Linked DNA regions of Astyanax mexicanus. The protein of the gene in region 4 interacts with the protein of the main gene of each other region in a biochemical or structural test. Links are inferred from orthologs where the notes say so. Each region holds a gene or a part of one and is shown on either strand. Other genes may lie near its edges.

Evidence for each region.
Region 1: the proteins of disks large homolog 4 (region 4) and sema4c form a complex in vitro, tested with the Homo sapiens proteins (2 studies listed by BioGRID and IntAct, with this or other methods). The link is inferred for Astyanax mexicanus from reciprocal best matches to the Homo sapiens genes DLG4 and SEMA4C.
Region 2: the proteins of disks large homolog 4 (region 4) and ralbp1 interact in a biophysical measurement, tested with the Homo sapiens proteins (2 studies listed by IntAct, with this or other methods). The link is inferred for Astyanax mexicanus from reciprocal best matches to the Homo sapiens genes DLG4 and RALBP1.
Region 3: the proteins of disks large homolog 4 (region 4) and cysltr2b interact in a biophysical measurement, tested with the Homo sapiens proteins (2 studies listed by IntAct, with this or other methods). The link is inferred for Astyanax mexicanus from reciprocal best matches to the Homo sapiens genes DLG4 and CYSLTR2.

The regions. Positions count from the first base shown.
Region 1 is NC_064429.1:37,682,800-37,690,347, forward strand, and holds the start of sema4c (semaphorin-4C), read right to left. Parts: upstream 3,007-7,548; 5' UTR 2,688-3,006; intron 1-2,687.
Region 2 is NC_064411.1:46,521,282-46,528,231, reverse strand, and holds the start of ralbp1 (ralA-binding protein 1), read right to left. Parts: upstream 3,020-6,950; 5' UTR 2,933-3,019; intron 177-2,932; exon of another isoform or gene 115-176; intron 1-114. UniProt on the Homo sapiens protein: Multifunctional protein that functions as a downstream effector of RALA and RALB. As a GTPase-activating protein/GAP can inactivate CDC42 and RAC1 by stimulating their GTPase activity.
Region 3 is NC_064425.1:22,199,471-22,207,255, forward strand, and holds the start of cysltr2b (cysteinyl leukotriene receptor 2), read right to left. Parts: upstream 3,007-7,785; 5' UTR 1,852-3,006; intron 634-1,851; 5' UTR 608-633; coding exon 1-607. Other genes in the region: rcbtb2 (RCC1 and BTB domain-containing protein 2), read left to right, coding at 6,750-6,875. UniProt on the Homo sapiens protein: Receptor for cysteinyl leukotrienes. The response is mediated via a G-protein that activates a phosphatidylinositol-calcium second messenger system.
Region 4 is NC_064408.1:2,144,184-2,151,525, forward strand, and holds the start of disks large homolog 4, read left to right. Parts: upstream 1-4,319; 5' UTR 4,320-4,403; coding exon 4,404-4,646; intron 4,647-7,342. UniProt on the Homo sapiens protein: Postsynaptic scaffolding protein that plays a critical role in synaptogenesis and synaptic plasticity by providing a platform for the postsynaptic clustering of crucial synaptic proteins.

The DNA.
Region 1 (7,548 bases), on a different chromosome or scaffold from region 4:
AAGCATTTAAAAACTATTTACAAACACTAAAAGAATCAGGCTTGACTCAGACTCAACTACTAAAAGACTCAGTTTTGACTCAGACTCATCTACTAAAAGACTCGATCTTGACTCAGACTCGACTACTAAAAGACTCAGTTTTGACTCAGATTCGACTACTAAAAGACTCAGTTTTGACTCAGACTCATCTACTAAAAGACTCAGTTTTAACTCAGACTCGACTCCTAAAAGATTCAGTTTTAACTCAGACTCGACTCCTAAAAGACTCAGTTTTAACTCAGACTCTACTACTAAAAGACTCAATCTTGACTCAGACTCGACTACTAAAAGACTCAGTTTTAACTCAGACTCGACTCCTAAAAGACTCAGTTTTGACTCAGACTTGACTACTAAAAGACTTGATCTTGACTCAGACTCGACTACTAAAAGACTCCTTTTTCACTCAGACTCGACTCCTAAAAGACTCCGTTTTGACTCAGACTCGACTACTAAAAGACTCAGTTTTAACTCAGACTCGACTACTAAAAGACTCAGTTTTAACTCAGACTCGACTACTAAAAGACTCAATCTTGACTCAGACTCGACTACTAAAAGACTCAGTTTTAACTCAGACTCGACTCCTAAAAGACTCAGTTTTGACTCAGACTTGACTACTAAAAGACTTGATCTTGACTCAGACTCGACTCCTAAAAGACTCAGTCTTGACTCAGACTCGACTACTAAAATCTAATCTGACTAAAACAAATGTTTACTGCTAACTAGTGGGCGAAGTTTAAACACAACACTAAACAATGAACCACTTCTGACACCAATCTTTACATCTAAACTAATAATAAAAAAATCAATACTGTGTTTTTGATAATCAACAAAGTATTACAAAATAAACAAAATTTTGTTAAACTTTGCTGTATTGATATTTTTGTGCACCCCTACTTCGCTATGTGCAAATGACATTTACATCACGGTTACACTGCAAGATGTGCAACGTCATAATATAACGGAATTATAATACAAAATCACAGTACAACGTCACAATATAACTGGATAAGTGACTTCTAATTTTGATAATGTATTGCAATATATATTCCAGACATAAATAGACAGACCTATTAAACCACTACATATCATGACATACATTTTTTAAGGTATCTTGCAACCATAGTAGAAACACACAGAAACTAGAATATACATATATTAACAGAAATATATTGTTTTATTAGCTCCACAATTTGAATGCATGCGAGAGAAAAAAACGCAGAAACATCCAAAACAGTCGCACCAGCCAATCAAACAAGAGCAGATGTGTCAGTATTTGCTGTATTTCTGCAGATTTGATGGCTCACAGCACTGCTGGACTAGCAGTAATGCAGTCATTGTATTGCAGTTTTACGCATGCTGTGCATGCACCTTCACCCACCACCCGTTCACTCAGTACTTTTACATATAAAATATTATGTATTGTTCAATTATACCTAATATAACTGCTTACACTCATTCAGCAACACTTATTATCTCAATAGTAGTGAGACATTAAATATATTTGCTTAGTAAAAAGATAATTTATTACTTTACATTTAATTAAGTATTTAGGTTCTCACTGCTTACCACAACACACAAACACGCATCATATAATCATATTTTAGTTTAAGATTTTCTACTTTTTGCACAATTTTCTTTTTACTTTCATGTTTTTTCTTGTATATTTGCGTAAATATATACTTCCTGACATTTCTATTTGCAGTATTTGATATTTCTTTTTTGTTTTGTTGTTGTTTGTTCATGTACAACATTAATGTGTAATGCTTACGACAGCATTTATATTTATTCAGAGTACCAGGTTTAATATAATATACAAAATTATAGATGTAGCTTTTTAGAATCATACTTTAGTATAAATCTTCATGTTCTGTTTTTTTTTTTAGATTAAGATATATATATATTTCCTGACACATCTGTAATCTGCACTGCACTGAACTGGAATATTGCAAAAAAAGGCTTAGTTAGTTTTATTAAAGGCTTATTTTACCTTATTTTATATTTATATAATACTGTTAACTTGTGTGGGTAGGTACAGTATGATGTCATTATTTTGTATTACTATTTACTATATATCTGCTATTTGTTGTTATCCTAGTACATTATCCCTGGGAACGCACGTGCATGTTATGTTCTTTTATAATCTTATAGCTTCTCTTTCTTTACATTTTTGCGGTAGTTTTTCTTTCTGTTTTCCTGCTTTTTCCGATTTTTTTATACAAAAAATGCTGTCTAGTTCTCTGCACTGCTGTAAAAGTCTACTGCAAAAATCCACACAACAATAGATGGTATTGTCTAATCTTATACTTGTTCTACAATAATGAATAATAAATTAAACATCAGGATTTGGATAAAAACAGGATATAATCTCTAAAACCTCAACCCCATAAACATCCAGGCAACAGTTAGTCAGTGTGTGGAGAGACTGGAGGCTGAGTTGCTGGGAGTTAATGACAGTATCAGATATCAAACCCTCCCCTACTCTAACGACAATCTACCGCTAAAAAACGCATAAAACACGCTAAAAACACGCGCAAAAATCACGCAAACCAGCAGCCGCAATTTCTTCAAGCATGCGATTGAGCTTCATCAGCGTAAAAACAATAAATAATCAATGAAAACATCACAAACAGCTATGTTTACACACTTACCCACTGCACTGACTGCTCTGCACTGCTGACTGGACCGGACCGAACCTCCTCAGAACCCCCAAAAAAAACCCCAAAATCCGGATTGGATCCCCGGAATAAAGCGATTGAATGCTGAATCGCGGGGAGTTGGTGCCGTCAATGCGCTGCGCTCTGCGGTCCGCGTACTAATCCCGCCTCCATCATACAGAACCGAACCCAACAGAACCGAACCGAGAACCAGTCCGCGTGCTCTCCGCTCCACAAACACGGCGAGCCTGAAAAAACGGGAGACGCGGTGGAGTCAGTTTACACTGCCCAACTCTCTCTCTCTCTTTCTCTCTCTCTCGCTCTCTCTCTCTCTCCACCCCTAGCCCACACTAAGCCACGCCCCCAAACAAGGGATTGGCCACTAGTGCCAAAGCCCCGCCCTTCTGCGCAACTATTGGCCAAAGGTTTAAACTCTACACACCGGAACGTCCACAGTGGTCAGTCTCTCAGAGCAGTGAAGCGCCTGAAGCTCCGCCCACTTGGACTGAGATTGCGTATGAAACAAAATGTATCAAAAACAGAAACGTTCTCATGTTATTAAACGCTAAAGCCACGCCCTTGTTGTGGTAGAACTGGTTAGCTCACAGGAGTGTCAAGGAATGAGGTACAAATACTTTGTTACTTTACTTAAGTAGAAATATTAAGTATAAGAAATACTTATACTTGAGTAATTAAAGTAATTATATTCTTTAGCTAACTCGTACTTCTACTTCTTGCAATTTTACACAATCATCTGTACTTTCTACTACTACTTTTTAACATTTTAAAAAACATTCCTACACTCTGTTGGTTTATATGTAATTAATCCCCCTTTGCATTACATTTACTACCTCTTGCTTTTGTTCTTTAGTTTTAAAACCAGTATGGTCAGTGTAACAATCATTAATATATTTTTCTGAGTGTTTGAGCCTAAATGCAAAAATAGAAAAGTTTTCATCCATTTTTCCAGTTTTATTTTTTTCCATCCCTCACAATTAGAATTTCAGGAAAAATTTAAAAATTATTATTTTCTCTATTGTCTGATTTTTACATTCTTGTATTTTGCAAGTTGAACTATACCATCAGATTTGTGTTACAAGACTTGACAAAAATGGAAATATATAAAATATTGTACATTATTTTACATATATATTATATTTATTATATTTATATATATGATCTTTTCTTTCTTTTGTATTATTCTAGGTTATATAAATTTTTTAATGCTTTCACGAATAAAAACTAAAATTGTTAAAAAAGAAGTAGAACTGTTAGAACTGTAAAAACGTATTGATGTTGTTTGTTCATATATCGTAGCTGTCCTATGAAAAACAGTTATCTCCATTTTTGTCGATTATTAGTTTACTGCACAATTTGAACAGACAAACTGTCCGTCACACTGTGCCAAAATTTCTTGATGAACGGACCAATAGAAACTCTTCAAAATAACCTGAAATAAACTCTTTTTACATTGACTTCCATTGAAAGTTCACAATGTTTTTTCTCTCTCCTGTAAAGTTGCTGTTTTGGAGATAACTGTTTTTCATTGGACAGCGACAATATGTTCTATTGTTTTAATAATCCCTATTGTTATACTGTTATTCCTTCACTGACCATATATACTGTATATTGAAATAATAACAGTATAAAATATGAAACACGCAGTAGAATAACAGTAAACATGTAAGATGTCACGCAAGAGTTATGATTAAAAGATTAGGTTGAAGGGTTTAGGAAGAAAAACAGCCCCTCCCCCTTCCCATAATCCCTGTAGATTTTCATATTAGTGGGCACAAAGGGATTATGGGCCGCCCCCAGGTCCGGTACAGCCGAGCGGCGCTGCGTCTGATCTCGTCTTCATGCTGTAAAATCGCGCCATGAAATATGTATGACTGAAAAAGAAAGCTGTGCCCTCAGAGTGCGGCGTAATCACGCCCAATAATCACGTCCAATAATCGCGTGATTACTGTACCGCATCATTACAGCCCTTTCTCCGAGGCGTCCAGACGTAAAAACTCCATTATAGTGCGCAGGGTTAACCCGTATTAATCAAGATAAAACATGCAGTACTGAGGGGAAGATCAGTCCGCCGTGGCGCACAGCGCTGGGTAATGTGTGCGCGCACTCATACATATCAGAAACTAAAAATTAAATGGCTTTTGTTTAATATATTTTCTGCTAATTAGTAGATTTTGTTGCTTTTAGAAACAAAATCTTTAATTACATTAATTATATTCATTTTCATATAATTCATTTTTTCGAACCTGCAGCTCTGGCAAAAAATAAAAGAGCAACTTAAAAATAATGAGTTTCTTTTTTTCACTCATTTTACCAAATTGAAAACCTCTGGAATATAATCAAGAGGAAGATGGATGATCACAAACCATCAAACCACCAAACTGAACTGCTTGAATTTTTACACCAGGAGTAAAGCAGCATAAAGTTATCCAAAAGCAGTGTGTAAGACTGGTGGAGGAGAACATGATGCCAAGATGCATGAATTTTTTTTTTTAATTAATTAAAAACCAGGGTTATTCCACCAAATATTGATTATTTCTGATCTCTTAAAACTTTATGAATATGAACTTGTTTTCTTTGCATTATTTGAGGTCTGAAAGCTCTGCATCTTTTTTGTTATTTCAGACATTTCTCATTTTCAAATGTTCTGGAGTCCCAAACCTTCAACATCAGAACTGCACCTCGCTGATGCTGTTGTTGTGGCTGAATGCTATCAAATCATGGCAGCAGTGTTCCAGGATCTGCTGTTAAAGCTCTTCTAGAAGATCAGAGGCTGTTTCTGCAGTAGAGGGACGAGCAGAACTGCTGCTGATAGGACGGTAAACAGGCCTGTAGAGTTTTATAATCTGCTGTAAAGCTGTAGAGCCGAATTCAAAGAGAAAGTGCTGCCGGGGGAAAGCAGTCTGTGGTCTGATGTTCAGCACATGTATACTGTATCATCCCCTAAACTCTACAATACTCTACTATACTCCACTACACTCCTCTACACATCATCCCCTAAACTCTACAATACTCTACTATACTCTACTACACTCCTCTACACATCATCCCCTAAACTCTACAATACTCTACTATACTCTACTACACTGTATCATCCACTAAACTCTACAATACTCTACTATACTCCACTACACTCCTCTACACACCATCCCCTAAACTCTACAATACTCTACTATACTCCACTACACTCCTCTACACATCATCCCCTAAACTCTACAATACTCTACTATACTCCTCTACTACACTCCGCTACTCTACTATACTCCACTACTACACTCCACTACACTCCTTTACACTCCTCTACAGTGTATCATCCCCTAAACTCTACAATACTCTACTATACTCCTCTACTACACTCCACTACTCTACTATACTCCACTACTACACTCCACTACACTGCATCATCCCCTAAACTCTACACTACTCCACTATACTCCACTCCTCTACACTCCTTTACACTGTATCATCCCCTAAACTCTACACTACTCTACTATACTCCACTACTACACTCCTCTACACTCCTCTACTACACTCCTTTACACTGTATCATCCCCTAAACTCTACAATACTCTACGATACTCCACTACTGCACTCCTCTACATTCCTCTACACTGTATCATCCCCTAAACTCTACACTACTCTACTATACTCCACTACTACACTCCTCTACACTCCTCTACTACACTACTCTGCACTGTATCATCCCCTAAACTCTACAATACTATACTATACTCCACTACACTCCTCTACACTCCTCAACACTGTATCATCCCCTAAACGCTACGCTACTCTACTATACAGGTGGTTGCTATGGTTTGTTTAAGTGGTTGCTAGATGCTTTAGTGATTAGTGCTTTAGTGATACCACATTGACTGTATGTAAGCACTGTTGGAAGATGCTCTGGATAAGGGCATCTGCTAAATACCTTAAATGTAAATGCGCTGGGGTTTCTGAGTGGTTGCTAGGTGGTTACCATGGTATCCTGGTAATGTGGCTGAAGGAAGCCTTGCTAAGCTGTTGAATCAGATGTATGAATGACATCTTTTCGAGGTAATAGCGTCAATATGTACGTTTTTTTTTTCCTTTTTTGCTTCCCGGAGATTTCGGTTCTTGCGAGCGAGACGTTGCTAAGGTGGAGCGAAATCCCCGGCCGTGTTTATGGAGCCGCGGCGTAAAGAGGGCGGCAGTTATGGCCATTTTAGAGTGATCTCTGCTCTCTTACCCTGAGAATCTTCATTACAGCTGAGTGGCTCAGGTACTCAGCGCTCCTAAAGCCTCCTGCCCCGGGGGCTCGTCCTGCTCGGCCAGAAGAGCCCTCAGCGAGGGGTCCCACGGCTCGAGACTCGCGGGATCTTATCGCTCTGTTTGGACGAGGATTTTACTCCGCAGTGCAAAATGAATAAGTAATGGGAAGAGGTCTGCAGCATTACCCAGGAGACCACCCAGCCCAAACGCGGGGAGAAAAACGTACAATAACAGCCGTAAAACAGGCCTGCGAGGAACGCCATCTAACAGCAGCCCCCGTTAGCATCCGCACACGTAGCAACGGCTAATTAAAACACGAGATCATAAAGGGAATTATTAAGATAGATTACGGGATGCATGTGCTGCAGTTTATTTAATTCAGATTAACCCCTGAAGGCCACAGATAACCGTTATGTAACACAGAAAAATATATATTCTTACATCAATTTTCCAATTTTAATACATGCTATAACCTAAGCACCACCAGGAGAAGTACAACAGTGGGAAATACATGCTAGGCTAAAAGCTAACTATGGTATCAGTGTTAGGCTAAATGCTAAATCTACAGCAAACTAGAGGAAAAACTGCTCAA
Region 2 (6,950 bases), on a different chromosome or scaffold from region 4:
CTTTCAGAGCTTAAATAATGCAAAGAAAACAAGTTCATATTCATAAAGTTTTAAGAGTTCAGAAATCAATATTTGGTGGAATAACCCTGGTTTTTATTCAGAGTTTTCATGCACCTTGGGATGTTCTCCTCCACCAGTCTTACACACTGCTTTTGGAAAACTTTATGCCACTCCTGCTGCAGAAATAAAATATAATATAAATATAAATGCATTATAAAATAACACAAACTGAAAAAAAATAGAATATTATACCATGATTTTGAAGGTGTTATAAATGTTAGAAAAAGTAAAAGAACCTATTAGTTTATATTCTACTAAACCTGCCAACTGAATGTTATTAAATGTATGAAAATAGCCTAAAGAACTTAAGAATGTCCAAAAATGCCAATACCCTATTGAAACTAAAAGTTCACTATGACATTTCTAATAAACCTCTCAACATTACCAAATATGTGTCAGATAATCTGTTTAATGTGTAAGTTCTAGGGGTGGGCAATATTATATTGTATACAATATATCGTGACACAGAAATATCATGATATTGTAAGTCCATATCGTGAAAATAGGGATGGTTTGTCTTAAAAGTAGTCCATTATTTACTGTGAAGCTTTAAGTGTATTTATTGTATAATTGTTTTAGTTTATAGTTTTAGTTTGCAGTTTATATGCATGAAAATATTCTGCAATATTTTTTGCTGCATTATATTATTTTATGCTATATTATTTATTTTGCCACATTACGATATACTCTTAAACTATTATACTATATTCCTAAAATTAATGAATTATTTTTCTGTTTTCCTATATTGCCAAATATATCGTTATCGCAAAAATATCCTGAAATAACGTCATATTAATTTAGAGCCATATCGCCCACCCCTAGTAAGTTCTACCCAGTTCTGACCCCAGTGGCAGCTGATGTGTCCTCACTGGACACAACAAATGGTGTGTTTTGGAAACCCTCATGTTCTGTCACATGACAGACCTCAGAAGGCTTAGTCACCCTTTCTCTACCCATATTCTCTTTTTGTGTTTCCCAAAAGACATCAGTGTAATCATTTAATATACTCAACACTGAAAATAACATATCGACTCTGTCCAAAACAGAAATTTTACATAAGATAGATTCCAATGGAGGTGAATGTAAAGTTTAAGTTTATTTCAGGTCATGTTGGAAAATTTCTATTGGCTCATTTATTAAGAAATTTGGCACAGTTTATGTGTTCAAATTATGTAATAACATAAAAATCACCAAAATGCAGATACTTGTTTTACATTGGACAGAGATGACCTATACTCTATACTGTATAATGCCTGTACTGTCTCTGTGCTAAATTGTGTAGAAGTAAACTAGGCCCTTACATGTAAATGGTGAGGACAAAGTTACACCTTCTTTAAAAATATGTCTTCCGTCTGTATTGCACAAAAGATTTCAGCTCATTTTCCCATTTTTCACCGAAACAAGCATCGCATTTGGCAACCACATTTTAGGGAACAAATTTATAATAAATGCATTCATGTGTTCTGTTGAATAAATGAAATTTCCAAATAATTTAACTTGTTACATCGAATAAAAAAAAAGTCAAATCATCTGGTCAAAAATCAAGCAACCAACACAAAGTCACCTGTTCTATGTAAATGCAGCAAACACGTGAGCAGTATGGAAGCATTTAAAGTGTCAGACAATGACCCATGTCAGATAATAATTTTATTATGTGCCCCTTCACTGTTTTCATGCCTTTAATATTAACGTATAATGTAGGAAATAAATTAAAGAAACAAAAAAGAAAAAAACATTGAATGAGAAGGTGTGTCCAAAGTTTTGGCTAGTACTGTAGGACAGGGGTGTCCAAAGTGCGGCCCGTTTTCTTTTTTGGAGCGGCCCTCGAGGTATTTTAGAAATAGAATGAAAGTTGGCCCGCTGTTAAGCAGGTTTTTATAATGTGAGATTCAAAGTTTGAACGCTAAAGAGTCTAAAAGTGGAGAGGGTGCGCATTTCTAGCGCAGAAAAACGGGCCAGAGTCTAAAAGTGGAGAGAGTGCACATTTCTAGCTCAGAAAAACGGGGTACAGATTCTAAAAGCGGAGAGGGTGCGCATTTCTAGCACAGAAAAACGGACCAAAGAGTCTAAAAGTTGCTGTAATTAAGGAGTTTAATATTAAGAGACATCATGAAATTAAACATCAATTTGAAAAAATCTTAGTTTACACAACACTGTCAAAGATAAAGATAGTTAGTCAAGTAAAATGGTGTGTAAATGAAAATAATGAGGAAAATTTATTATTTAAAGAGGTATATTTCATTATTTGTTTTATTAAACAGTGTGGCCCGTGACTTCAAATATATTTCTCCTTCTGGCCCCCAACAAAAAAAAGTTTGGACACCCCTGCTGTAGGATAACAGAAATAAAAAATAACTAGCTCAGTATAAAAATATGTTATCTAACTTAGCTGTACAAAACTGTGTAAATTGTGTATAAGCTCCTGACAGTCACATATACAGTCATTTTAACTATATAAGCTAAGTAACTAGTTTCCTCTGATAACACTGCTAACACTGGCTAATTCCTTTAATTACTCCTATAGGAGTGTATGGCTTTATTTTAATCTTATGGAGGATTCACTTTAAGCTCTGTATTCTATTTTAAACACACATTTAGAGTAATTAAATACTTAACGTTACTTATTTAGCTAGCTGAAGCTAACACACCTAACTAACACAGGCTATCTATCCGGTTAGCAGTAAAGCTGCAGCAGCGCTAGCACTGTTAGCCTGAGCAGCGCGGATTAGGCTTTTACAGCGGGGCAGAAGCTCCCAGCTAACCGGCCGCGGGCTCGACAGTTCAGCGCTCTAATAAATAAACACATTAAATACCAGCTTCAGCTAAAATCAGCACATAAAACACGATAAATACAGCTTTAATTTAAACTAACCTGCTCGGGTGGCTCCACAGCGCTGCTTCCCGTTGACTTGTTTACGTGCCCGACAGGAACGTCAGTCTGCGTAAAAGGTGGACACGCTCAGACTTCTGGGAGATGTAGTCAGTTTCTGCAGCTAGAGCCAAACACGCACTACACTATAAAATCTGACTAATTAGTTAAAGAGCCACTAAACCCTAAACCATATTTTCATTTCATTAATAACTGAAATGTGTTCCTTTAAAGTATTGAAACATATCAGTCCTGCTTAAAATGATTACAAACATTTCCTAACATTAAAAAAAAAAAATTTATTGTGGTAATTCTGCCTCTGCAGCACCTTCTCAGGATCAACTGTGCTGTAGACGTGGATGATGTTTCTGTGTACTTTGGTACACATCACAATGTGTGCTCAGCTCGCTTCTGTAGTCACTAAATACTGAAATCATACTGAACAGTTGGACTGATGGGACAGTTTGCCCAGCCAGCATGCACATGTGTGGCTCACATGGGTGAAACATGGGCTATAAGCGTTTTTTTTTTTACTACTGTGCAGTGTATAGGCCACATGTGCAGTGTATAGCCCACATGGGGCCCATATTTATTGTCTTCTGGTCCCATTACTGACCCTAATGGGGTCCTTCACTATCTGGTTTCCTGTTGGGTAACCCATACGGGCCACACATGGGCGTGTTATCTACGTAGTGTTGGTTATCCAAATTGAGGGGTTCTCAACCCATTTAAACATACATATGCATGAAAAATGTTATTACAATAAAATGAAATATCACTTTTCCAAAAAATAAATAAGGCCACAAAATATTTTACTCCTCTGCTTATATATATATATATATATATATATATATATATATATATATATATATATATATATATATATATATATATATATATATATATATATATATAAGCAGAGGAGTAAAATATTTTGTGGCCTTATTTATTTTTTGGAAAAGTGATATTTCATTTTATATATATGTTTTACAAGCTGTCCATGACCCGCCAAGAACGTGTCTGTGACCTACCAGTTGAGAATAGCTGACCTAATGTATATCTACATAGGTGCTTACATAGGAAAAGTTTCCTAGGTGTTAAAAATATCTTTACATTTTTTACAATGCAGAAAATTACTGGTTACCAAACTTATTTGGACGAAAATAGCATTGTTTTAAGTCCTATTTCAGTGTTTTCTCCAGCAGAGAAATGGAGGAGGCAAACTCTACTGTAGAATCAATTGCAGCACCACTCTTTGAGATAATGAGGCATGTAAAAAAAGATTTTCATTCTAAACAATCAACAGCACATTTAATTCCACCTGTTTAATCAGTTGATCAGTCGTCAAACAGCTGATGACATCAATTGATGATATGCTTAAGCTTGGCTGTAATAAAAACCTGCAGGCACACTGGCTAGATTTTAGATTTTAAATAAGGTGCTATCTCCAGCCTCCCTCCTCCTTCTGTTACTGCCAGCAGATGGAAGCACTGAGCCATAAATGTGGCCTGTTACAGCCTGCTGAATGAATATAGCCAAGGGTGACCAATCCAATCTGCAAAAGGCTGATGTGGCTGCAGATCTTCATTCCAGACAAGCAGCAGAAGACCTCACACACACACACCTCATATAATGATGACCTGCAGCCACACCGGCCGTATCAGATAATACGAGAACCTTGATAGTGAGGTAAAAACTCAAACAAACTGCAGAATAGATCTAACCCAAAATGATTAGAGTCAGTATTACAACCCCAGTTCCACAAATCTTGGGACACTGTTAAATGTAGAACATAGAACACATATCAGTGTTAAAACTGACACATTCTACCATTTCATGAACAACATTAGACCATGTAGAGCTGAATGGAAAACACTAAGATCTCCAAAAAGTTGGGAAAATGCTCCAAAATGCTTGAAAAGTATATGGCACTTTTAAATCACAGAGAGCAAGGTACAGCAGGCCAAGAGTCAGTATTGGATGCTGGTGATCTTCAGGCCCTCAGCTGGCATTGCATTAAACCCCCCGCCCCTGTACTGAGTCTTTCCTGGAAATCACTACATGGGCTCAGGTACACTTCCAGTAATTACTGTCTGTCTGTGAACACAGTTCACCATGCAATCTAGTAATGCAATTAAAGCTGCATCATTAAAAAGAAGAAGTCATGGGTCACCTTGATCCATAAACAGTGCCATCTTCTCTGCCAGTATGCCAAAGCATATTTAAAATGGGCAGATTAACCAAAATTGTACATATTTAAAAAGGACTTTGACCTAGAGAAGATGGCAGAGTTTCTGCATTATCTTATCATTTGGTTTCCTCTTTGCCTTTATGTTGCTCCATCCCAATTTTTTTGGTTCATAAGTTCAAAAAGAGTTTATGATTTTATTAAATTGGCAAAATGTGTCTCTTTCAATATCGACGTGCATCTCAGAATTTTGAATATCATTGAAACATTACTTTATTTCAGTAATTAAGTTTGTGAATGTGAAACTCATATATTATATTGATGTATTTTATTGTTGATGATTATGGCTTACAGCCCATAAAAACCCAAACATCAGTGTCCCAAAAAATTAGAATATTATAATTATAAGACCAATTGGTACTTTTAGCAATGTGGGCAGTGTGCCAAGTCCTGCTGGAAAATGAAATCTGGATGAAGTGCTGTAAGATGCACCTGTAAAATGTGTATGTAATGTTCTATTGTAAATAACATTCTATTAAATATGCAAAATCATTGCATTTTGCAGATTCTTTTTACATTTATTTACACCTTACACAACATCCCAACTTTTTTGTAACTGGGTTTGTAGTACTAGTACTCTAAGATGCTTTGTTACAGACCCAGGTACAGAAAAAAGGCTCCTCGGCCTAGATTCCATTCATAGATATCGCTTCATAAACAGAAGATAACGTGTATTTACAGAGAGCATTGTGTTCCCATGCTGTTCTTTCATTTCTGCACAATCACAGTGATGATTCAGCCCCAGGCGTATCTCAGAGCTCTTAATGAGCCTCCTTAAGATAAGATACGACTATGACTTCACCATGTGTTATGATGGGTCATCATCAAATAAATCAGTTCAAGCTGATTATTTTAATTCAACGCGAGTCAGAAACCAATATCAGATAATGATCACCTTTATAATGCTTACTGACGCACGCTCTCATTTAGGCCTTTCATTTTAGAGAGAGAACAAACATGCAGGCCGCTGTTTTATTTATTTATTTAGTAAAGGAATAGCATCGGAAATGATTTGGCTTGCTTTCTTATGAACAAATTATATTACATTATTCTAAAATTATATTTAATGGGTTAAATCTCTTGCAGAACACAAATTTCATGTGAAAAACTGATCTACTATCAGAAGGAAATGGGGTTAGTAGATCAGTAGTGATCAGTAGATTTTGTGCATAAGTGCAGGTGATTAGTTTATGAGAAAAAAAAACTTTAGAAAATAGGCTGATTTTTTTCACATTTTATGAATTTAGACTTTAGACTAAATAATGCTAAAAGTATAATTTTTTATTCAGTGCTCTTTGTTTTATAATCTATTTAAGTGGCAAAAGAGATGACCCAGAAATGCATGCTTACCAGGTTATGGCTTGTCAAATAATCTACACAAATATAATTAATAAAAATATATAAAATACAAAAATCACCTTGAACCAGTCATATCCATAAGTTATATTAAAAGTACATTTTCAACATTTTATTTTAATATAATAGTTATTCGGTTTAAAAAAAAGGCTTTTAATTTATGAGGAAAATTAACATGTCCACATTTTAGATATATATTTACATCAGATATATTGTTCATATCTGACGAAAGCTATCACAACACCATTTATATGACTGGAAATACCACAGTTCTATATCACAGTAATATATGAATCAAAAACTGTACAATATTATATTACATATATAATATTTATATTCCATTACATTATTATAAGCTACACTGGCAGTTCAGAAGTCATGGGATGTCAGTATGTAAACTGATCATGAAGAAGTACC
Region 3 (7,785 bases), on a different chromosome or scaffold from region 4:
AGGGCAAGACAAAGCCCATGCCCAAAGCGCCTTTGTTCAGAGTGATAATGGTTTTCACCAAAGAAGGGTCTAGCTCCAGACATTTGATATGGCCAGATGCATCCTGACTTGTCCCGGCATCTAAAAGAGGGATCGAGGCCAAAGACACAAACAGCCACACGAAGACGCATACCACCACAGCTCCTCGACTATTCTGTAGGTACATATAGGTGTATGGTTTAATAATTGCCACAAAGCGAACTATGCTGAGCACCATTAGAAAATAAACGCTCCCATACAGGTTGATGTAGAACACGAAACCCATGAAGCGACAAACAACATCTCCAAAGATCCAATGGGAGTTCATGAGATAGTAGACCGCTCGAAAGGGCAGTGAACACACCAACATCAGGTCAGAAATCAGGAGGTTTAGCATGAAGAGGTTAACCGGGCTGAAGGACTTCATCGTCCTCCTCACTCCGATGAAGAAACATAGTGAGACGAGGTTGGCAGTCAGTCCCAGGAGGAAGATAGATAGGTAGGCAGCTGGGTAGACACTGCGCTTGAAGGCACCGACTGAGCAGTTGCATTCAACAGTAACCGTGAAGTTCAGACACGGCTTAGTCATCGTAGATCTTTGGTCTGGTAAAAGTCCTGTAAAAATAAATCAGGTATATAAGATTATATTAGAAACAAGCTGAGACAAATATCTAAAACAAATGTCAGGTGACGATATACAGTAATAAAGATACTAGAAACTAAAAAGTGCATACACTAAAAGGAATGCATAATGGTTGTGCAGCTGAATGGGAGAACAAAGGATATACAAATGATAAACAGCCCTAAAGCAGTGCATGCAGTTAGTTTGCTGTGAGGAAAATTAAATTATAAGGCATGGGCTTGGACAAAAAGACCAAAAAGGGAGCGAATGGGAGGAATGAGGGATGATAAAATGACAAATATATATATATATATGGACCATACTAAGCACAATAAGATATTACACAAATAAAGTACAACACAACACACTACATAGATTTCTAATGCACATATAGGAGAAGGTGTCCTGTGGGTACACACTGATGCTGAGGGGTATGCAAAAGTTGTGATTTTGTTGTTGTCCTCAAAACACTAAAACAAAACCTTTGAATTAATGATTTCTTTTAATAGAGAAGAATCCAATGTAATAAAATAGAATAATATATATTAAAAATTAAACCTGTAAGTGTTAATGAACTTCAAACTAGAAGGTTAACAAAATGAAATACAGTAATATCTACTTGTAAATAATAATGTGGATATTTTATATTATATCAATGGATGGAGGGTTGAATATTTAATTTGTTTAGAAAAAGTGAGGCCAACAAGTTTCCAATTAAAAAAATGGATGTATACCCATTGTAATGGACTTGTTCTCTCATTGTCAAAGACCAATGAAATAAGGCACATAATACAAAGCACTTACAAATAATACAAAGCAAATATATAGAAATACACCCACCTGAGATATTGAACTTGAAACTAGAAGGATAACAAAAAGACATACAGCAATTTCTACTTGTAAATAATAATGTGAATATTTTATATTACATATCATACCATATATCATTGCTGTTTCTCCAAAACTGCAATTTCATCGGAAAAGAAAAATCCTTCTTAACATTTAATAAAAGTTAATGTAAAGGATTTAATTTTATTAAGTCAATTTGAAGCATTTCTATTTCAATTGGCACATTTTTTTCTGTGACAGTGACAATATTATACGTTATTATGGTATAATATTAGTCCTGTGGTATATTGTAATGTTCATGTAGAAATGTGAGATATTTACAAAATTAAAGTAAAAACAGCAACAATAGAATAAAAACTTACCTTCTAAGGTCTGCTAAAGACTGATGCTCACATTTAGATCTGTGAGGATCCGACTGACACTTTCACTGAAGAACAGTACTGGGAAAAGAACCACAAGCAGCTTCTTCTCTCTCAGTGTGGTTGGCTGAGGCTCTGTTGCAGCTCCACCCCATGAACTGCACTGCTCCGAAACCACTATCAATTTCTTACAGGATTACTGTCAATCTACAGACTGACTGATTGCACTTATTGATAAAAGAAATCTGTAATCATGTAAACATCAGTTTCATGTACATGTAGTGCATACTCATAGCTCTCTGGATAGTCCTGTCTGCAGAAATGATCACCATGCCTCAGAAAGAGTTAACAAAAAATCATACCTGATGCCAAGTTAAACCCTTTGCCTATAAAAGGTGCTTCAATCACACATGTTCCTGCTTGTTTAAGAATGCTGCTTATCTTTTTCACAGCTTAATGCTGTAAGACTGAAAGTGTATACATGAGCCCCCCACCCCACCATTTTCTTTTCCAGAAAACTTTCACAAGTGCTGATCTTGGTCCAAAACCTGTGACCATACATGAGAATGTTTTGACTTCCACTGAAATTCTACGGAGGTGGATGAAACGCAGACACACATAAATGTGTTGCAAAAGTATTCCCCAACAATAAACATGAATAATGTGTCCAGGATTTAAATAGTACTATTTTGAAATCTGTTTGCACCTTTAGCATTTTCTTAAATAAGCTATTTAAATAAGATATTAGCGAAACACTGCAACATTGATAACTGAACCATGAGAACGGAAACAATAAAGAAGTCCAAGGAAAAAAACACAGTAATAAATGATAAACTGCTTAAAATGCTTAATTTGAGAATAAACACTTTCAGCACCCCCCAAAAAAATCAAATATAATGAGCTCTGACATTTGGCATCCTGCCTTTTCTGGGACAAAAGACTTTCTATTCAAGAGAACCACAAAGGCATATTTGGATTTCATTAGAAAACCAAAGAAATGACCTAAATAAGATGTGGGAACATATTTTGTTGCAATTTAAGAACAAAATATTTAGAAAATGTCTGACTTTCAAGATATGTGAATTTAGTAAAGCCACAAAGGTTTGAATCATTTTAGTAAAAAAATAAATAAATAAAATCTTGGCCTCGCTTTCTTTGGGTAGGTGTTCCCTCCAATGACTGTAGAAAACATAGAAAGCACAATATCTCTAAAAAGTGAAACCAACACAGTGCCTCTGCTGGAAGGCTGCAGTATAAGGACAAAACAGCTAACATCTATTTCTTTTCCTCTAATAATCTGCATTGTTTAATTTTAACAGTTAGTTTGTCCTGCAATATGGAACTTGCGGGTGCGTCTGGATCCACCTCTGTCCTGCACATATCACTGAGCTGTTAGTGTCCCACCTTGTATTACTTCTAGGGGTGTCCGACCATTGTATGCAAAAGCACCTCAGATTATCACACCACCATGCAATGGTGCAGTGTGTCGCTCCAAAGCAGCGTTGAAGCACAAGGCCTCCATGCTCAAACCTGATCGTCATCAAATCCCACACAGAATTTGGATAAATTTGCAAAGATGATATGGTTCTGTAGGAGTTTAAGTACTTTGTTCATGACACCACTGCAAATAAGTAATGATGACTGGCTTAAAGAGTTTTTCAATTGTGAATTTGTAAAAGGCCCCTCTTTAAGTCTGTCTACTGTGTAAAATACAGAATTACAATTGAGTGCACTGTTGAGGCATCACTGCCTAGCAGTCAATAATCTCTCACCAGGAGGTACACTACCCAAATGTCTGAGAGTCTTTTTGCGAGCCAACAGAGAAAGGACTATTTTAGTTTCCTTCTGGCCAATTGAGTATGTGGTCAGACCACACCTATAGTCATTCACATACCATGCCAAACGTTTTAACTCGAATCATTGTGCTAATCATTGAGCTCAGGTTCCAGATACTTCCATGGCCACACCTGTACAGGTGTACAAAACCAAGCATCTAGGCATGCAGACTGCTTCAACAAACATTAGTGAAAGAATGGGTTGCTCTCAGGAGTCAGGGAATTTCCACGTGGTACCCTGATAGGATGCAGCACTTGACGTAACATATTCCACAGTCAACTGTCAGTGCTATTACAGATCTGGAAAAAAATAAGAGACCCCTTAAAGATGAGTTTCTTTGATTTTACCAAATTGAAAACCTCTGGAATATAATCAAGAGGAAGATGAATGATCACAAGCCATCAAACCAAGCTGAACTGCTTGGATTTTTTGCACCAGGCGTGGCATAAATTATCCAAAAGTAGTGTGTAAGACTGGTGGAGGAGAACATGCCAAGATGCATGAAAACAGGGTTATTCCACCAAATATTGATTTCTGAAATCTTAAAACTTGAATATGAACTGAACTGAAGCTGTATAACCTAGTGGAAGAGATTTTAATCTGGGTGGGGTTCTCCGCATCCCTATGATGAGTATGGACAAGTATAATAAAGTGTTCATTAAATGTATATATTTAAACACAGTATATGGAGACTTTAATTTTTTTTCATTTACAGGTTTTCTTGACATCAATTGAGAAACAAAAGTAGTACCCTCGACCATCCGAGTAGGGTGTTTATGGAAGGAAAAACATGAAGTGTTAAAGTGACACCAAACTAATTATTTACAATTGGCACAGAGACCTGTTAAGAAGACAAGGCTACTGCTTTAGTGATGTGAATGGGGCTCCTCTGATAGAAGCACAGTTCTCAGTGAGTCCTAAGCTGGTTTTACTCTTTAGTTGAACTTTAGCTAGCTAACTAGCTAACGAACATCTCCAGAAGCGAGCAGAGCGTCTCCTGCATGATGTCAGCTGTGTGAAAAACATGCCTCTCCTCTCATCATCCGCTGTGAAATGAAGGACTGATTCAGCGGGCAGGAGAATGACAGCAGCCGGCTAGCTGCTGAAAACTCCCTGGAATTATCGGACCACTTTCCTTTGAACGAGCCTGGATTTGTGAATGGAAACGAACCTGAACAAATACATTAAAGCACCCTGTGGCTGAAAGCGCCGGCGTTCATTTTATAACACGAGGTATGTTGACGTTAACTTTTTTAATTATGTGTTGGCTGGTTAGCAACGCTAGCTAGCTTGTTGAGTTTCTGTCGAGCCTCCTGTGTAGCTTCAAAACAAGCCGGCTATAGCCAGCTAGCGAAGTTAGCAGTATGTTAGCTAGGTTAGCTAGCTAGCTAACTTATCCAAGTACTTGAGCTTTAGATATATCTGTGTTTTTAACAGATTGGGCTGATATGTGTACAATAACTAGCAATATAGTTAGCTAACAGTTATATATCGTGATAATAATAGCTCGTATTAATATTAGGTGCTTTAACTATACGGCATTTCTCAATTTAGCAAGCTAAGCTAGCTTCCCATCTATCTAGCTAGCTAGCTAGCTTGGCTGTTTATAGAGCCTCAGTAAAATCTGCAGGTAAATCGTTACTACAGCGATACAGTACCGCCAGCTTTGATTTTAAACTGCGTTTCTGCCCATATTATCCCTGTTTTGTGTAACTACATGGTGTAACGTTAGCCAATCATATACGTAACTATGTCTACCTAACTTATATAACAGATAGCTAGTTAGCTTTATTAGTTAGTTAGTTAGCTAGTTTTGGGATGTACGAAAAATAATAGCTTAGTTTTTGTAGCCCACTTTATTCTCGTCAGTCAGCTGTTAGTCACATTCAAAGTTGGCTTAATATAAATAATAGTTTGACAGCCTGGGGACAAATAATAGACTAAAATCACACCAACCCATATTAAAACAATTCGGTATCCTACCCATAAATGTTCCCTTTAACTCGTTTTGTTGCTTAAATGCACGTTATCAAATGGATTTTCGTACCCTTTAATACTGTGAACGTGGCCAATGCTGCAGTACACTTGGGTACTGCAGCACAGGGGTACAGTCATTTTACCAAAAGCAGAGGCCAGCACATTTTGCTGATTCCCCTACTGTAACAAACTTCATAATCCTGCACAAACTTCAGAAACCTGACAGTTAGCTAACAGGTGAGCAGAAAGATATGTGTTTTGAGCAGGAAAGTCACAGAGCTGTGCAGGTATTTGCACCTCCTGGTGCACAATATTACCCCTAAAAAATCAAGGAAAAATATTTAGCTAATTACTGTTCTATTGCTTTATTCTCATTTTGGTGGTTAAACAAGACTAAAACAGTTAACTGTAAGTGTAAGAGAGCAAAAAACACTTTCTTGTTTTGTTTTATTTTATTTATTTATTTATTTTTCATTTTATTTCTTTTATTTATTTATTTTTTCTTAAATTTTCTCCTCAACACGGCCAATTACCCAACCCACTCATTAGGACATTAGGACTCCCCCTATCACTAGTAATGCCCCAACACCAGGAGGGTGAAAACTAGCACTGATGCAGCATTGCCCAGTAGCATCACTCGGTTTCGATACATCAGCTCACAGATGCATTGTGCTTATCAACTTCTCTGTAAGAGTGATGTGGGGAGAGAACGCCATCTACCCACTCAGAGAGAGCAAGGCCAATTGTGCTCTATAGAGCAATTGTGCTCTATAGATGGCGAGCTACATGAACAGGATTCGAACCAGCAATCTCTTGATCATAGTGGCAGCTCGCTGGAGCATTCAGAGCCCACTTTCTTCTTTTGTTATTGGTTAACCTGCCCCAAAGCCTTTTGCTTGAGTTATGTAATATTTTGTGGCTTGTGTATAAAGTTGCAGTTCGAAAAGTCTCAAGCAGTTAAGTCAAGTGTTCAAACGGCTTGAACGTCCAAAACTGTTTTAGACCAGGGTCCAATGGCCGTACATCCTGTTCTCCTTGCTTGAGGAAAAAATGTTTGTGTCTGTTTATCCTGTTTGTTGCAGAGTAGCATGCTAGACGTGGGAAAGTGGCCAGTGTTTGCACTTCTGCCTCCTGAGGAACTGCGACTCATCCGCCAGGCCTGCGTGTTTGGCAGTGCTGCTAATGAGGCGCTTTACGTTACTGTCAATGATGAGGTATGTTTTGCTTATTAAAGGACAGTGCTTGTGTGTGATAGCCCTTCAAATATAGGTAATCCAATAAATTGAATGAAGTAATGTCCGTAATTGTTTGCAAAGACTGTTTCAGATTGAAATACTATGGGTCCGATATCAGGGTTTGAGAAGAGGGAAAGTTGCCACACACACACACACACACACACACACACAGAGAGAGAGAGAGAGAGAGAGAGAGAGAGAGGAGTGTACTAAGCAGATAGAGCTTCGCTATATATAGGCCTGTAATACACCACAAGCCTTGTTTGTACCCTGAGTAGTGTGTGTGTCACTGGAGTCAAGTTTTTTCCACTAGACTACTATAAAGTGTAATTTGTGGTTTGGAACACCCAAATTTAACATATTTAACCATATAAACATTTTGATTATTTGAACAATATTGAGAGAGTGAGTTAATATAGCTAAACTAAATAATGTATCCAATATAAATAGAAATGCAAAGTTAGTACATGTGTATTTGTCTGCACTAAAGTCTTAAAATACCTAAAATTAGAGTTAGGTGCAGCACATCAGACACAGATGATTAGAACTCAAAGGTTGTATATGCCTTTTGAATTAGAGAATTTCATTCTAAGACAAATATTAGAACAATTAAAAATAATTACAATAATTTTAAAGAGAAATGCCTGGCATTACTTAGTTTTATTTGTGGAGATATATTGCCTCCATACCAGTGTTGTCCCCCTTTCCCCTCTTCTTTCTTTCTTAATGGGCTTGTTTCCATTCATGTCTTCTAAACCTTAAGTACAGGCAGTGGAGCAAAGCTTCAGATGATGCCAACCTATTTTTATGTTGGGTTTCTGTTTCCGTTATAGTAGCCTATCTAAAGTACAGATCCAGCACCAGCACTCTTATCTATTCTTGTTTACTC
Region 4 (7,342 bases):
GCTGATACATCATAGCAGCATAGAGAACCACAGCTGCTGTTACATCATAGCGGTATAGAGTAACACAGCTGCTGATACATCATAGCAGCATAGAGAACCACAGCTGCTGTTACATCATAGCGGTATAGAGTAACACAGCTGCTGTTACATCATAGCGGCATAGAGTAACACAGCTGCTGTTACACCATAACAGCATAGAGTAACTCAGCTGCTGTTAAATTATAGCAGCATAGAGTAACACAGCTGCTGTTACATCATAGCAGCATAGAGTAACACAGCTGCTGTTACATCATAGCGGCATAGAGTAACAGCTGCTGTTACATCATAGCAGCATAGAGTAACACAGCTGCTGTTACATCATAGCAGCATAGAGTAACACAGCTGCTGTTACATCATAGCAGCATATAGTAACGCAGCTGTTGATACATCATAGCGGCATAGAGTGCCACAGCTGCTGTTACATCATAGCAGTATAGAGTAACAGCTGCTGTTACAGTATAGCAGTATAGAGTAACACAGCTGCTGTTACATCATAGCGGTATATAGTAACACAGCTACTGTTACATCATAGCGGCATAGAGTAACACAGCTGCTGTTACATTATAGCAGTATAGAGTAACACAGCTGCTGTTACATCATAGTGGTATAGAGTAACACAGCTGCTGTTACATCATAGCAGCATAGAGTAACACAGCTGCTGCTACATCATAGCGGCATAGAGTAACACAGCTACTGTTACATCATAGCAGCATAGAGTAACACAGCTACTGTTACATCATAGCAGCATAGAGTAACACAGCTACTGTTACATCATAGCAGCATGAGGTAACACAGCTATTGTTACATCATACAGTATAGAGTAACACAGCTGATGTTACATGATAGCAGCATAAATTTACACAGCTGCTGATACATCATAGCAGCATAGAATAACACAGCTGCTGTTACATCATAGCGGTATAGAGTAACACAGCTTCTGATACATCATAGCAGCATAGAATAACACAGCTGCTGTGACATCATAGCGGCATAGAGTAACACAGCTGCTGTTACATTATAACAGCATAGAGTAACACAGCTGCTGTTAAATTATAGCAGCATAGAGTAACACAGCTGCTGTTACAGCATAGCAGCATAGAGTAACACAGCTGCTGTTACATCATAGCGGCATAGAGTAACAGCTGTTGTTACATCATAGCAGCATAAAGTAACAGCTGCTGTTACATCATAGCGGCATAGAGTAACACAGCTGCTGTTACATCATAGCAGCATATAGTAACACAGCTGCTGTTACATCATAGCGGCATAGAGTAACACAGCTACTGTTACATCATAGCAGCATAGAGTAACACAGCTACTGTTACATCATAGCAGCATAGAGTAACACAGCTACTGTTACATCATAGCAGCATGAGGTAACACAGCTATTGTTACATCATACAGCATAGAGTAACACAGCTGCTGTTACATCATAGCAGCATAGAGTAACACAGCTGCTGTTACATCAAAGCGGCATAGAGTAAAACAGCTGCTGTTACATCATAACAGCATAGAATAACACAGCTGCTGTTAAATTATAGCATCATAGAGTAACACAGCTGCTGTTACATCATAGCAGTATATAGTAACGCAGCTGTTGTTACATCATAGCGGCATAGAGTGCCACAGCTGCTGTTACATCATAGCAGTATAGAGTAACACAGCTGCTGTTACATTATAGCAGCAAAGAGTAACACAGCTGCTGTTACATCATAGCGGTATAGAGTAACACAGCTGCTGTTACATTATAGCAGTATAGAGTAACACAGCTGCTGTTACATTATAGCAGTATAGAGTAACACAGCTGCTGTTACATCAAGTGGCATAGAGTAACACAGCTACTGTTACATCATAGCGGTATAGAGTAACAAAGTTGTTACACCATAGCAGTGTAAAGTTACACACACATGTTGTTACATCATAGCAGTGTAAGGTTACACACCTGTTGTTACATCATAGCAGTGTAAGGTTACACACCTGTTGTTACATCATAGCAGTGTATGGTTACACATCTGTTGTTATCATAGCAATGTAAGGTTACACACATGTTGTTACATTATGGCAGTGTAAGGTTATACACTTGTTATTACATCATAGCAGTGTAAGGTTACACACCTGTTATTACATCATAGCAGTGTAAGGTTACACACTTGTTGTTACATCATAGCAATAAAAGGTTACACACCTGCTGTTACATCATAGCAATGTAGGGTTACAAACCTGTTGTTATATCATAGCAATAAAAGGTTACTCACCTGTTATTACATCATGTCAGTGTAAGGTTACACACTTGTTACATCATAATGCTACTGTCCTAGCTTACTGTTATTTAACAATATATTTGTAGCATTATTTTCAGTATGTTCCATGTATTTACTCTACAGCAGGATGATGTAACAATAGTAGTTATGACATCATACTGGTATGACTCAGTTATGTCACACTAGTACAGCATGCATTCTGTACTGGTTTAGATCTGCATGTTTATTCTGGTAATTGGGTTTAAATTGTTTACTGATGTTGTTTTAATAGTGTCGAGTCTGTTTACTGAGATACTCACTAATTATCACCCCTACCAACACACACACACACACACACTACACACACACACACACACACACACACACACACACTACACACACACACAACACACACACACACTCACACATTTTAACATTAAATACTGTTTACAGAATCCATTCATCAATTTAGTAGAGAAAATAAAATTATCTCTCTCTCTCTTTCTATTTCTATTTCTTTATCTCTCTCTCTTTCTATCTCTCTATCTTTTTCTATCTCTCTATCTTTCTAATTCTCTTCCTCTTCCTCCTGAGCTCTGATTGGATGAAAGAGACACGGTCACAGAGTATGAATATGAATTCAAATACAGAGAGAGAGAGAGAGAGAGAGAGAAAGAAAGAGATAGAGAGACAGAGAGACAGAGAGGGAGGGAGATAGAGAGAGATAGAGAGAGGGAGAGAGGGAGAGGTGGGGTGAGTGTGTGGGTATAAACAGCTATGCGAGCGTGAAGAAAATAACAAAAAAAAGAAAATCGTAAATTTCCGAAAATAGCACAGGCAAAGACCTCTCTCTCTCTCTCTCTCTCTCTCTCTCTCTCTCTCTCTCTCTCTTTCTCTCTACATCTCTCTCTATCACATTCATTTCCTCTTATTCTATCTCTCTCTTTCTCTCTCTCGCTCTCTCTCTCTCTTTCTCTCTACATCTCTGTCTATCACATTCATTTCCTCTTATTCTTTCTCTCTCTTTTCTCTATTTTTTCATCTCTCCATTCTTGATTTTTTTTACTCTTTTTTCTCTCTCTATCACATTAATTTCTATATCTCTCATCCTTTCATTTTCTCTCTGTTTCTTACTGTCTCTCTATCTCTTTATATATTATATCTACTTTTTTCTTTCCTCACTCTCAGTTTTCAATCTCTTTCTCTTCTCCTTTTTCTCATTCTCTCTTCTTTCTCTTTTTTCTCATTATTTTTTTTACTCTTTTTTCATTCCTCTTTCTGTCTCTCGTTTCTTTCTCAGTTTCACTCTATCCTTTTCTCTTTTGCTATTTCTCTTACTTTTTTCTCGTTCATTTCCTTTCTCTCTCTTATTCCAACTTCTTTCCTCATTATTTCTATCTCTCTCTATCCCTTTCCTCTTTTCCAGCATTCTCTCTCTCCATGAACGTTTTATCTCTCCCTTGTTTCTCTATCTATCTCTCTCTACACTTTTACTGTCTCACTGCTCTCTCTCTCGACTTTCTCTTTCTCTTTTTTCTCTAATTCTCACTTTTCTTATCTATTTTTCTTTTTCTCTCCATTTTTCACATTCCTTATATTTTCTTTTCATTTATTTTCATTTTCTCTCTCCCTTTTTACTATTTTTTATTCTCTCACTTTGCCAATTCTCTTTTATTGTCATTCTCTCTATATATATTTATATCTCTCTTCCTATCCTGTTTCTACCTCTACTTGTCCATGCTCTCTCCACTTCTTTCTTTCTTTCTTTCTTTCTTTCTTTCTTTCTTTCTTTCTTTCTCTCTCTATCTCTCTCTCTCTCTCTTTCATAAACATATTCTGTGACTCACTCATCGTTTCCTCTGCCAGGATTTTCTCTCTGCTCTCATTAGTGCCTTCCCCATCTATCCCTCTATCACTCTCTCTCTCTCTATCTCTCTCTCTATCCATTTTCTTCTTCTCTCGCTGTTTCTCTCTTTCTCTATCTCTCTACCTTTCTCCCTATTCTTCTTGCTCTGTCTCTCTTTATCTATCTCTCTCTACCTTTTCTCTCTCTTCCTCTAAACTATCCTTACATCTCTCCATCAATCTTTACCCTCTTTCTCTCTCTTTCTCTCTCTTTAGTTTATGACGCCCCCTCCTCTCTCTGTCTCTCTCTCTTCCCCATTTCTTTTTTTATTTCATTTTCCCCCTCAGTACAGTCCCCCCCTCCCTCCTTTCTCTCTCCCAGCCTCTCTCTCTTTCTCTCTCTGTCCTCATCCCTCTCTCCTCTCCTCCTCCTCTCTCTCTCTCTCTCGCTCGGCCGCTGTGTGTGTGCGTGTGTATCTGATGAAGGGTCGTACTAAACTGCCTTCACTCTGCTCCTGCGTGGTACGTATCCGCCTTTCTTCCGCGGGGATCTCCATCCATCCATCCGTCTATGCCTCCATCCCTCTATACCTACATCCCTCTATTCCTCCATCCCTCCATCCCTCTCTCTTTCTCTCTCTCTGTCTCTCTGTGCTGCAGGTTTTTGGGTTGTTTACGGCAGAGGTTCAGACGTGCTGTTGGCGTTGTGTGGGAATGCAGACAGTGTGTGTCTGAGTGTGAGTGTAAGTGTGTAAGTGTGTGTGTATAGTGTGTGTGTCTGTGTGTGTGTGTGTGTGTGATGCACAGTCACGTTTTCACTATTTTTTTTATGACGGGGTATGAAAACATCTGCAGTGTGCATCGTCACTGTGTGTGTGTGTGTGTGTGTGTTTGTGTGAGTGTGTGTGTGTTTGTGTGAGTGTGTGTGTGTGTGTGTGTGAGTGTGTGTGTGTGTGTTGGTATTAGTATAATTGGGTAACTTTGTAAACCTGTTGAATATGCATAAGTGTAGGAACAGGTGTGTGTGTGTGTGTGTGTTTGAGAGAGATACATGTATTGCATGTCTTAGAGTAAATTAGCTGAGTGAGCAGAGAGAGCGAGAGAGAGAGAGAGAAAGAGAGAGAGAGAGAGAAAGAGAGAGAGAGAGAGAGAGAGAGAGAGAGAGAGAAATATAATGCAATGGAAATTGCCATATATCAAATTGGTCAGTAGGCATCCAAACCAGACTACCTATCTAACCAGCCTTTATCTCTCTCTCTGTCTCTCTCTCTCTCTGTCTCACTCTCTCTCTCTCTCTCTGTCTCTGTCTCACTCTCTCTCTCTCTCTCTCTCTCTCTGTCTGGGTGTTTGTGATGAAGCAGCATCACTAATGTGCGTATATAATATTCATTATCTCTCTGATTACTGCAGAACACTGTTCACAACACACACAGAGACAGAGAGACACAGAGAGAGAGACAGAGAGACAGGTGCAGGTAAGGACAGACAAACTGAAAAGAAAAGATGGACAGAGAGACAGATGTATAAAGAAACAAACAGATATAGACAATCTTGACAGATGTATGAAATAAAGGAGATAAGGACAGAAATATGGAGGAGCAGGTGGACAAAGGGACAGACAGAGACAAGGAGAAATGGAGAGACAGAGAGAGAATGTAAGAGACATATGTAGAAAGGGAAAGAGACATGGAAAAAGAGACATATGGAGAAAGGAACAGAGAGATGAGAAAAGAGACATATTGGAAAAAGGAGACATATTGCAACATGGAGAAAAAGACAGAGACGTGGAAAAGAGACAGACAACATAAAAAAGGATGTAACAGACAAAAGAAAAGGATAGAAAGAGAGACAAAACTGATTAAGAAATGGACAGACCGATAGAGAAAGGAAATAGGGACCGATAGCTGGAGAATGGAAACGACAAAATGAGAAAGAAACAAACTGACAGAAAGATGGAGAATGAGACAGACTGAGAGACAGACAGGTGGAGATAAGACATACAGAGAGATAAACGATTGGAGAATAAGTAGGATATAGGGATAGATGGAATGACAGACAGATAAAAAGACAGATGGAGAAAGGGACAGACAGATAGAGACAGACAACTGTAAAGAGGGACATGTATATGGAGAATCTAAAATACTAAATGAGAAAAAAAAACTTACAGAAAAGTGGAGAGAGAGACAGATGGAGAAATGTACATACAAAGAGAGACAGCTGGAGAAAGAGACAGATGGAAATAGAGACATATAGCTGCAGAATGGAAAATACAAAATGAAAAAGAAACTAACTGTCAGACAGATGGAGAATGAGACAGATTGAGAGACATACAGATGGTGATAAGACAGACAGAGGGATAGACGTTTGGAGAAAGATAGGAAATAGGGACAGGTGGGATAGAGGGATAGATGAGGTGTCAGACAGATAAAAACGCAGATGGTTGCTGAAAGGGCTAGATAAGGAGAGAGAGACAGATAAAGAAATGGACAGACAGATGTAGAAAGACAACTGGAAAGGGACAGATAGCTGGAGAGTGGAAAATACAAAATGAGAAATAAACAAACTGTCAGAAAGACAGATGGGTGCCCAAAGGGCTAGAAAATAGAGACAGACAGATAGAGAGAGAGACAGATGGAAAAAGAGACAGATAGCTGCAGAATATAAAAGACACTGTTAGAAGGAAACAAAGTGTCAGACAGATGGAGAAAAAGACAGACTGAGAGACAGACAGATGCTGATTAGACAGACAGAGAGATAGATGATTGGAGAAAAACAGACAGATAAGGAATAGGGACAGGTGGGACAAATAGAAAGATGGAGTGGCAGACATAAAATGACAGATGTTTGACGAAAGGGCTGGACAGAGAGATGGACAAATGGAAAAAGAGACAGATAGCTGGAGAATGAAAAAGACAAAATGAGAAAGAAACAAACTGTCAGACAAATGGAGAATGACAGTGGTGATAAGACAGACAGAGGGATAGACGATTAGAGAAAGACAGGCAGATAGGGATAGAGGGATAGATGAAGTGGCAGAGAGAGAGACAGACCAATGGACAATGGACAGACATAGAGAGACAGATGGGAAAAAGGGACAGATAGCTGTAAAATGGAAAAGACAAAATGAGAAAGAAACAAACTGTCAGACAGATGTAGAATGAAACAGACTGAAAGACAGATGGATGGTGATAAAAGAGACAGAGAATAAACGACTGGAA